Linked DNA regions of Nothobranchius furzeri. The protein of the gene in region 1 purifies or fractionates together with the protein of each later gene. This does not show direct contact. Links are inferred from orthologs where the notes say so. Each region holds a gene or a part of one and is shown on either strand. Other genes may lie near its edges.

Evidence for each region.
Region 2: the proteins of mapk6 (region 1) and ech1 purify together in Homo sapiens (affinity purification with mass spectrometry; 3 studies listed by BioGRID and IntAct, with this or other methods). This does not show direct contact. The link is inferred for Nothobranchius furzeri from reciprocal best matches to the Homo sapiens genes MAPK6 and ECH1.

What each region holds. Positions count from the first base shown.
Region 1 is NC_091749.1:41,777,488-41,782,434, forward strand, and holds the start of mapk6 (mitogen-activated protein kinase 6), read right to left. Parts: upstream 2,939-4,947; 5' UTR 2,706-2,938; coding exon 2,469-2,705; intron 2,378-2,468; coding exon 2,060-2,377; intron 1-2,059. UniProt on the Homo sapiens protein: Atypical MAPK protein. Phosphorylates microtubule-associated protein 2 (MAP2) and MAPKAPK5.
Region 2 is NC_091753.1:47,224,413-47,229,381, reverse strand, and holds the start of ech1 (delta(3,5)-Delta(2,4)-dienoyl-CoA isomerase, mitochondrial), read left to right. Parts: upstream 1-1,918; 5' UTR 1,919-2,151; coding exon 2,152-2,188; intron 2,189-2,942; coding exon 2,943-3,111; intron 3,112-4,602; coding exon 4,603-4,691; intron 4,692-4,767; coding exon 4,768-4,892; intron 4,893-4,969. UniProt on the Homo sapiens protein: Isomerization of 3-trans,5-cis-dienoyl-CoA to 2-trans,4-trans-dienoyl-CoA.

The DNA.
Region 1 (4,947 bases):
ATTAAAGTCTGTTTTAAAATACATGAGAGTGAGTCTAAGGCCCTGTCCACACGTAGCCGGAGATCTGCCAAAACGTAGATATTTTTCTACGTTTTGGCCTGTCATCCACACGAAAACGGAGTTTTTTCACACGAAAACGGATCTTTTTAAAAACTCCGGCCAAAGTGAAGATCTGCGTTTTCTCCGTTTTGGGTGTCTGCGTGTGGACAGACAAAACCGGAGTTTTAAGGTCCGCAACGTCACTTTCCGCGACAAAAAAATGCTGACATCACGTGTGCGACCTGTGTTTACACTAGCCGACAGCATGGATGCCCTCAGAGCTGCGCTCGCTTTTTCAATTGTCCAAGCGCTTTTTGCTCGTTTGTTTTTGCAAGCGGAATTACTGCTCCTTGCGGAAGACCACAGACGAAGGACGAGGTTAAGAACGGGGGAAGTACTGCCGCCTACAGGTTTGGCATGTCCTTAACAACGTATTTATCCGGGTACGTGTGGACAGAGTTTTTTTTTAAACGAGGTGGTGTGGATGCAAGTTTTTGGAGGGGTGGATATTCGTTTTTAAAGAAACCCGGCTACCTGTAGACTAGGCCTCAGTCTCTGGGCAACACCATATTAGATGCCATGTTTCCTTCTATGGAAGTCCATGAGGACAAAAAGCATCTACTAATTTATGACAAACTGTTACAAAATTGTTACCATTAATAAACATTGTTGTTTTACACAGCTCCCTCTTAACTTGCTGCCAGTGGTGAAACGGAGTCTGAGTCTTGTGATGTTGCTGGAGGTTTAACTCCCAGGGATTTTTGACCCTAAAGGCCACCTGTTGGTAAGGTCTTACTTGAACACAAAAATACTGCTTGCTTGCAATGATTCAAGTTATGTACTTCCCCTATGGCAGGGGTGGGGAACCCTGGTCCTCGAGGGCCGGTATCCTGCATGTCTTTGCTTCAACACTTCTGATACAGTGGTTGGTTCACCTGTTCTGCAGCTCATCAGACTCTGCTAAAGCCTGTTAATCACCTGCTGATTGAAATCAGGTGTGATGATGCAGGGTTGAAACTAAAATATGCTGGATAGCGGCCCTCGATGGACCAGGGTTCCCCGCCCCTGCCCTATTGCCTGGGAAAATACACACTGCCACTTTAATGGCACACTTGGCAGTCTTGCTTGTTTTTAGCACCCTCAAGTGTCCATTATTATTTATCTGATGTTAAACCGAAAACAAAATTATCTCCTCGCTGTGAGTCCCTCTTTTTAAAATCCTTAAACAGCTGAAATGTCTCCTCAGCCTTCATTAGTGTCTACAGGAGCAGTTCCTCACTAAATTAAACTAACACTGAAGTTGTCAGCCACAAAGGGCGGTAGGGATCTGAATGACATTTCGTTAACTATGTAAAGGGTCGTTTTAGCACATACTGGCTCAAGAAAACTATTTAAAAACATGAATCCCTTCAACATTTGGTTGTCCACGTGTGGCTTTTGATCCTCAGGTTCTAACTAATTTCTAGATTTTGCAAATCAATAAGTAAAAAGGTAATTGAAAAATGAACCAACTATTATATATTTCTTTGCTGCATGCCCATAAAACAGGCTTTGATCAAAAACGTCATTGTCTGCATTAACAGCATGTAAAAACCCATACTGAACTGGTTCTGTTGTAATCATGAACCAATTAATTTTTTCATCCTAATGCAAAGAATATATCTAATCTTCCTCAATGTTAAGCAACATCACTAATAAACTCATAAAACAACAAAAAAAGTTATCCGGGTTTGGTTTTCCAGTCATATTCCTCCTGAGAACGGAAACAGAGGCGTTACATGAAGGAACCACATCCTGTCTTGTTTACTTCCTGCATTGAAAAACTGCATCACCCAGGAGAGCACCACATTACCGGGCAATAAACATCTCATGTCAGTGTAACAAAACACTTGCCTCAGAGCACAAAATCTGGAACAACGGAATATACAACATTATGAGCAATCACAAAACCTTATAAATATTTAAATTCTTAAACTCAATAACATAACTGCAACAGCAGTAGCTTAAGTAATAGCCCTACCTTGTGAGAGTAGTGAGGATCCATGATGCGGGCCAACCCAAAGTCCCCAATCTTAAGTACTAGGTCCTCTGTGTTAACAAACAGGTTGGCAGGCTTGAGGTCACGGTGCAGCACATTGGCAGAGTGGATGTACTTTAGGCCCCTTAGGAGTTGGTACATGAAGAGCCTGGCGTGGCCTTCAGACATAGGGCCTCGCTCCAGCAGCTGACAGAGGTCTGTCTCCATGTACTCCTGTACAATGTAGACAGAGTTTACCTCTGTCAGCGATGCCACATCTTCTGTTAGCCTGCGACCACAGGGGCCTAGGGTCTCAAACACCTGAAAAAGTCAACACCAGACATTACAGCAAATGTTCAAAGTAAAAAGTAAGTCAACTCATTTTGTTTGATAAACCACCAGAAGCTCCTACCTTGACAATGTTGTCGTGATCAAGTCGTCGAATTATCTTGATTTCCCGCAGGGCATGCTTGACACTCTGGGGATCAGTCAAGATAATTTTCTTCACAGCTACACGCTTGTCACAGTCAGTGTCGACCGCTGAAAACACCAGGCCGTTTCCTCCATAGCCCAGAGGCTTCAAGTCCATGTAGCGAGATCCCAGGTCAAAGCCATGGATATTCATCAATGACTCAAACTTTTCTGCCATGATGATGTTTTTTAGGCTTTAAGCTATTTTCAAGTTTATTTTCAGGCCTTTTACAAGCCCAACTTTAACACCTAAAGAGGAATTTGTTAAAAAAAATTCCCCCTTTCCTTCAAAGGATGATCCAACTAACCCCTGTACAGATGACTACCCAGTCCCCCTGGTTAGCCGTCAATGTCAGATGTGGGGCACTAATGTGAAATCATACGTTCCCTCCATGTTCAGTAGGAAAAATATTTAATATAACAAATTATTTTAACAGCTCCAAGTAAACTAGTGTTTATAAACTATATTGGAATGAAAATTCCAGGCCAATTGGAAGGGAGTAAAAAAAAAAAGCACTGGGATTAGGTTAAACTAGAAAGATGTAGTCACATCCTCACAGTGCAAATACATTCAGTGTACGACTGGTCCTGAGTAGCTTCATATGAAATGTGCCTTATTGCACAAATATTCTTTTTCTTAAATTTCTTCACCTGATCTATAAATTTGAAATGAATCTTGTTCAAAAAAATCTTTCACCCTCAATGATCAGGTGGCTCAAGCTCACCACAATCACAATCAAAGCTATCCTCCATTTTACTTGGATATAACCTGAAAAGAGAAAAACAAAATACTGATTAGAATACAAAGAAACTAGAAAATGGGTGTTCGTGTAAATTTCCTACAAAACGTAATCAAACGTCCCCTTTTGTACGTTAACATGTCATTAGGGACACCAAAACCGCTTTCGCTTTAACCCCGTGTCCTAGAGACATTTGCCCCGCCCCTAACCGGTAGAAGCGCTTGCTAGTCCGGTTTCTGGACATCGATTAATTCCAGAGAAAATACAAGTCAGAATAATAAAATGTACGACAACGTAGGAAAACAGCACATCAATGACAGATGACATATTTTATGCCGAGCTTATACCGCTCGTTTTGGCCTTTTCGAGTGAAACCCTGGCGGAAAAAAACCGACAAGCAAAGAGACAAGCCGCTCGCACAGCGGCTGTCGACTCGGTATCAATTTTATCACAAACACAGCCAGTGGCACACACATAAAATACATTATAAAAATAACACGTTAAAGTCTAGACATCGTGTATTTAATAAATGTCAAGTATAAAGGTTAAACAGAAACCCGGCAATCGCGCGAACAAAGGAGTCCCTGTTGGCGGAGGGTTTTGACTACGTGGTATAGCTCTCTCGGCGCTACACTACACAAAGCCGACGGCGGCTAAAAGGCTCAAAACGAGCATAAAACGGCAGTGAAATTACATCATTCGTAAGCAATAATGACGATAATCAATGTGTGTGAAATTACTTACAGTCCTTATTCGTCGCATTAGTTAGGTTATTGTGTAAATCAAACCCAGACGAGGTTTGACTGCGCTTCGCTCCCCGACCTCTGCGGATCTACTGCAATCGCCATTATGCTGGCTATGAAAGGAAACGGTCACGTCAGAATGCTACATTCAATGACTATCGGAATTGTTCCTACTACAGCGAGAGAACGCTGAAGCTACGTCAAACCATTTATTTTAGATTGCTTAATCACACCGAACTGAATTAGAACATGTCACAATAAATAAAAAATAATAATTGAAATAACAAAAATCATCCAAATAAATTTGTAAATATTTATTTCTCATATGTTAAAAAAGGTGGGCTTATTTACCATGGAACACTGCAAACTACGCTGCTCTTTTTTTTTTATTAAATTCAATATTTTGTTCTTTTTTTTTGTAGTCCAGGAAATACAAGTATTCCTTTGACATATTCCATAAGGCTTCCATTAATGCTTACTGTATTTTCAGTATTATATAACCGATATTAGTAACATAAAATGCAAACTAAACCCTCCTAATTTGACGCAAAATTTCGCAGCACATTTTCACGGGTTCCTTGTACTGTTAAAACTCTATCAGACGCAGAAAGGCGTGAAAACTCGGAGTTTCAAGCAGTACGTGAATGCAGCAGAAGTCATTCAAAACGTAAATTAATTTTGGAGATCACGCCACAGCTGTAGATTAAAAATAATCTATGATGGTTGCAGGTTCATGGATGCAATAAATGCAAAACAGGGAAATCGACTGTCTTTGTTAATCGGTTAATTTTAGACACACACACACACACACACACACACACACACACACACACACACACACACACACACACACACACACACACACACACACACACACACACACACACACACACACACACACACACACACACACAAATAAACATGATGTGTATTTTAT
Region 2 (4,969 bases), on another chromosome or scaffold:
TTTCAATTCTAATGTATACATTTAAAGCAACTAAAAAGCTCTTAACTCTTCGCTGATTCAGCTTCTATGCAAGAGTCCAGGAAACCGCCTTTGTAATCTTTACTGTTTTAAGATGCAGCCCTTCCTCCGTGGTACCTCCTTTGACTCTTATTTCCTCCAGAAAACACTGGTCAGAACCCATTGCCCATCCTGAATGGGCAGCCAAATCAATGAGAGGCATCTCTAAAGATCAGTTAGAAAACTTTGACTGTGATCAAATCCTTAACACCTACCCTGACTCCATCTGAAATGTCTGAGATGTTGGATCAACCCCAGAGACAGAACCAGACAAAGTCCGTGTTTTACCTCTTGAACATGAATGTATTTGTTCTTTTGCATGTCTACCTCAGTCTTTAACTTTGATTTCATTGGTTCACAAACAGGTTTGGCAAACAAATAAAATCTCTTACATAAAATGTGTCTTTAAATGCCCAAAAAGTTTTTAGTTTTTCTGTTTTTGGAAATATTTGTATTAATTATTTTGTCAATTTTTATTTATGATCAGTTGTGATCAAAACTTTTCTATTTTAGTGATGTTTTATATATTGAATGAATAAAATCATTCTTAATATCCAGTGTGTTTTATTCATCTAATTACTCTAACTTTTGTTTTTGAGGGAACATGTTCCACATCTGGTTAATAACCAAACAAATTCCAAGGATTGGAGGTGGATTTTTACTAGATAGTCATTTTGAGGATTTTCTGTCATTTAATGTTTTATCTCATGTTACTAATTTATTTTTAAAATAAAAATATACTCATTTACAGGTCAATAACCACAGATGAGAAAAAATAACACTCTGGAACAGCTACTGAGACCTCATGATGGAAATATGTTGTACATGAAAAAGTCATTTTTATTTAACATTTATATGTTAGAAATATCTTTAAAAAAATCACAAATCTCTCAAAGAATATTGAATTTAAAGCTATTGTTTGGTCTGTTGAATAAATCAAACTATAGATTAAAAGCTCATTTTAAAGATTAAATTGAACTAAATTCAGTTTAAATTAAACTGTATGTGAGCCAACCCATTATATTGTTTATGTTTAAAAAATTGATCCGAAATATTATTGGACTTTGTTTGGGACAGATTTGAGCACATTATAATTAATGTAGTTTATTTCCTGTTGAGTTTTCACACCTAATTTATACTAAATTTAATGTTACTCATTTATTGAAAGCTTAATTTAAAGAGTAAATTTCTATTTATTAGTTTCTGCAATCTGCGCTTAATTACTTTCAGCAGAAGATATGTTCATGGCTTTGCACTTTTCTGATCTCTGTTGTGGGCACCAAGCAAAAATCTCTGCCCATTTGCGTACATTCTTTTAAAAACCAAGAATGTCCACATTCAGTGTTTGTATATGAAATGATCAGACATTTATAACTGGAAGCCCTCAAGCAGCCACTTTTAAAAAGTTGTGAAACAAAAAAACAATAAAAACTGCTGTCAAATTAACAAATGAAAATATCAGATTGTGCCCCAGAAGATAATGCACTTTGACTAAAAATAAATTCAAACTGGAAAGTAAAAAGAGGTAAAAAAAAAAAAAAAGGAGGAAATTAAAACCTTAGAATGATTAACTTTTTTTGTTTATAGTACAGTTTTTAAGCACATTATTGTAATGGACATTATATGTAATTACAAACCTAGGCTACTGTAAAACTAATAACAACAGAGTACATTTTATTATTATTGTCATTGTCTTTTATTAATAATAATAAGTAAAATGGATATATGGCATAGGATTCGTCCAGTTTTTCTATACGTCACAGTGACGAAAGAGAGCGTTTCTGGAGCGTTTGCGCCAACTCGGCTACCGTAGAACCAATTTAGAGAGGCTAAGCTAATCAGGAGAGCGAAATGTTAACATTTATGGCCAGTTTTTGCTTTAAACATTCCTCTTATTTCATGTAGATTTAGGTTAAAGCGGTCAAGCAGTCTTTCTGTCATTTGGAAGCTAACCAATGAAGCAGTGAAGAGTTTTGGCAAGCCAGCCAACTTGTTGGTTACTAGTTAGGGTTAGCTAGACGTCGTTAGTCTTTTGCCAGTTTGCTTTGGTTTAACCGTTCACCAAAGCTTCCCGACTGCAGCGTTCAAAGGGCGATGTTGTCAGTCAGTATCAGGTCAACTCTCCCCAGATGTAAGTAACGGATTAACCTTTTTTCTGTGTTTCTGTTTTAGTTCAGATGTTTTCTTTTGTCACATGATGTGCACGTTTGTTTGGATGTTAGTCATTAGTACTAGCTCTACTTTGTATTTAACCCTCAAATTGACCGAGATGAACAAAGCCTGGAGAGGTTTGTAGGTGAAAGGTAGCTGCTTAATCGACACGCATTCTAACGTATTTTTATATACTTTTGTTATAACTGAGGTTGTAGCATAAATATACTGAGTATCTAACCTTTTTACTGATTTGCATTGCGTTAACAAATGTCACAGCATGTCTACAATATAGACTTTTATTTCACAATTAAGTCTCTTTTTGCAGGGTTACAGCTGTAAGGTGATTGAAATTCCTTTAAAATGCTTTAAATAAAAAAATGTACATGGAATTAACAGAAATTGGTGTTTTATTATTATTATTCAGATTTACTTTGATGGAAAAGGAAATTAAACAGTCGTTTTGATCATAGCTGTAATATTCATGTATGACCAAGTGAGGTGCTGCAAAATATTGCAAACTATATGTATTTATATATAATTAAACTTTGGATATTTTTTCATAATAATAAGCATCTTAATGCTATCAGGCCCTTTACACAACAGTTCTGCAGCATTTGGTGACAAGTCACCTGATCCTGTTTTTTGCATTACAGCCCACCCTAAAGCAGGTTAGCTAGTATACATCAGTGACCTAATGTAGATAAACACAAGCGTGTTTAATTCCTTTTCAGACAGTAGGTTGTGGCTGCCTGCTCAGGCTTTGGTCAGGAACATGTCATCTTCAGATGGACCCACATCTCCATACACGACCCTGGCCATCAGTCGCCCAGTAGAGTCCCTCACACATGTCGAACTTCACCGACCTGAGAAGAGAAACGCCATGAACAAAGCTTTCTGGAGGTGAGCATTTTTATAGCAATAAATATACAAAATGTGTGTTTTTTTCCGTGACATTGGGGTACCTTTTCTTCAAGTGAAGTCATGTAATAGTTTTTATGCCAATTTTCTTGAGGAAACACACATTTTCTTAAAACTTTTAAGATGTATTTTATCTAGACACACATATGCATAAGGACACACATATTATAGATTTATTTCTAAAATATTACATATAGAAATAATAGCTTTAGAGCTTGTATACAATACAGTAAGGAGGCAGTGCAGAGTAGTTAAAATGCTATCATAAATCAGAAATCCATTTTTCTCAGAGGGCACCATCTACAGGCAGAATTGTATTGCAACTTCAAGCCCCTCCCCCTGCTTCCATGATACAGTTGAAACGACTCGATCGTTTAGTCCATGGGCTTTTCTTTACTTTTGTCTATCTTCGAGTAAATGGTTTGGATTTATATAGCGCCTTCTAGGGTCGTATAACCCCTCAAGGTGCTTTACAACACATCCGGTCATTCACCCACACACACACACACACACATTCACTCGCTGAGTAGAAGTAGGCAATCTGTTCTGTATTTTTAGTCCCTCAAAAGGCAGTTGTAGCTGCGCTCTATGATTCGTCAGGTGTTCACGCACTCTGTGATTGACATTTGTACGTAAGCAGATGTCGAACGCTATTGGCTAGTTCATTTCAAATTGTATGGGAGCCTATAGGGCAGGTGGGCTTAGCAAAAAACAAAATGTTTATGTATCTAGCAGACGCTTTTGTCCAAAGCGACTTACAAGTGATAAATAACCTCGACTATTGCCTATCGTCATTAGGGGCGATGATGGCACAGGAGTTAAGTGCTCGCCCCATAATCGGAAGGTTGCAGGTTCGAGCCCCGCTCAGTTTGTCGCTGTCGTGTCCTTGGGCAAGACACTTAACCCACCTTGCCTGCTGGTGGTGGTCAGAGGGACCGGTGGCGCCAGTGCACGGCAGCCTCGCCTCTGTCAGTGCGCCCCAGGGCAGCTGTGGCTACATTGTAGCTCATCCCCACCAGCGTGTGAATGTGTGTGTGAATGGGTGATTGACTGTGTTGTAAAGCTCCTTGGGGGGTCCCAGGACTCTAGAAGGCGCTATGTCAAATACAGGCCATTTTCCATTTACATTATATTACAGAACAGGGGAAGCCTATCCCTTTTACGGATTACTAAAAAAAAAATCATACAGAATTCCTGAAAAGGGTAAAGCTCTGGATTTCTGCTTTGAGGTCATTAATATTTGGTTTAAGCATCTAAATTTAATCTTTTATTTGGATAATTTTATTAAAATCACATCACACATCATTATGATGACTATGATTTAATGACTTTGTGATTTTGTCTGTGAGGAGTGCCACACAAATAAAATTTAATCACTTACATTAATAATAATCCAGTTTAACGGAAACTTAGCTGCAAACGCATCCATAGTTGAAGCAGCCCTGACATAGTGTTTGTGTTTTTATTTTTTAGTGAGATGGTGGACTGTTTTAATGAGATTGCAGACGACCAAGACTGCAGGGTGGTGGTCATGTCAGGAGCAGGAAGGATGTTCACAGCTGGTGTGTTTCGGGTCACAACTAATGCCAGTTTCATCAGCGGAGCTGCGCTTATTCCGTATGCTCTGTTGATGTCCAGGTCTTGACCTGATGGACATGGCCAATGATATCCTCCAGCCGAAAGGCGACGACGTGGCAAGAATCTCCTGGAACCTCAGAAAAACCATCACCAAATATCAAGAAACGTTCTCCGTCATAGAGAAGGTCAGAGCTCCTCATCACATGCATTGGACAAATAATGACGCAGGAATGTTAATGAAGTTATTCTTATCTGCTTGTAG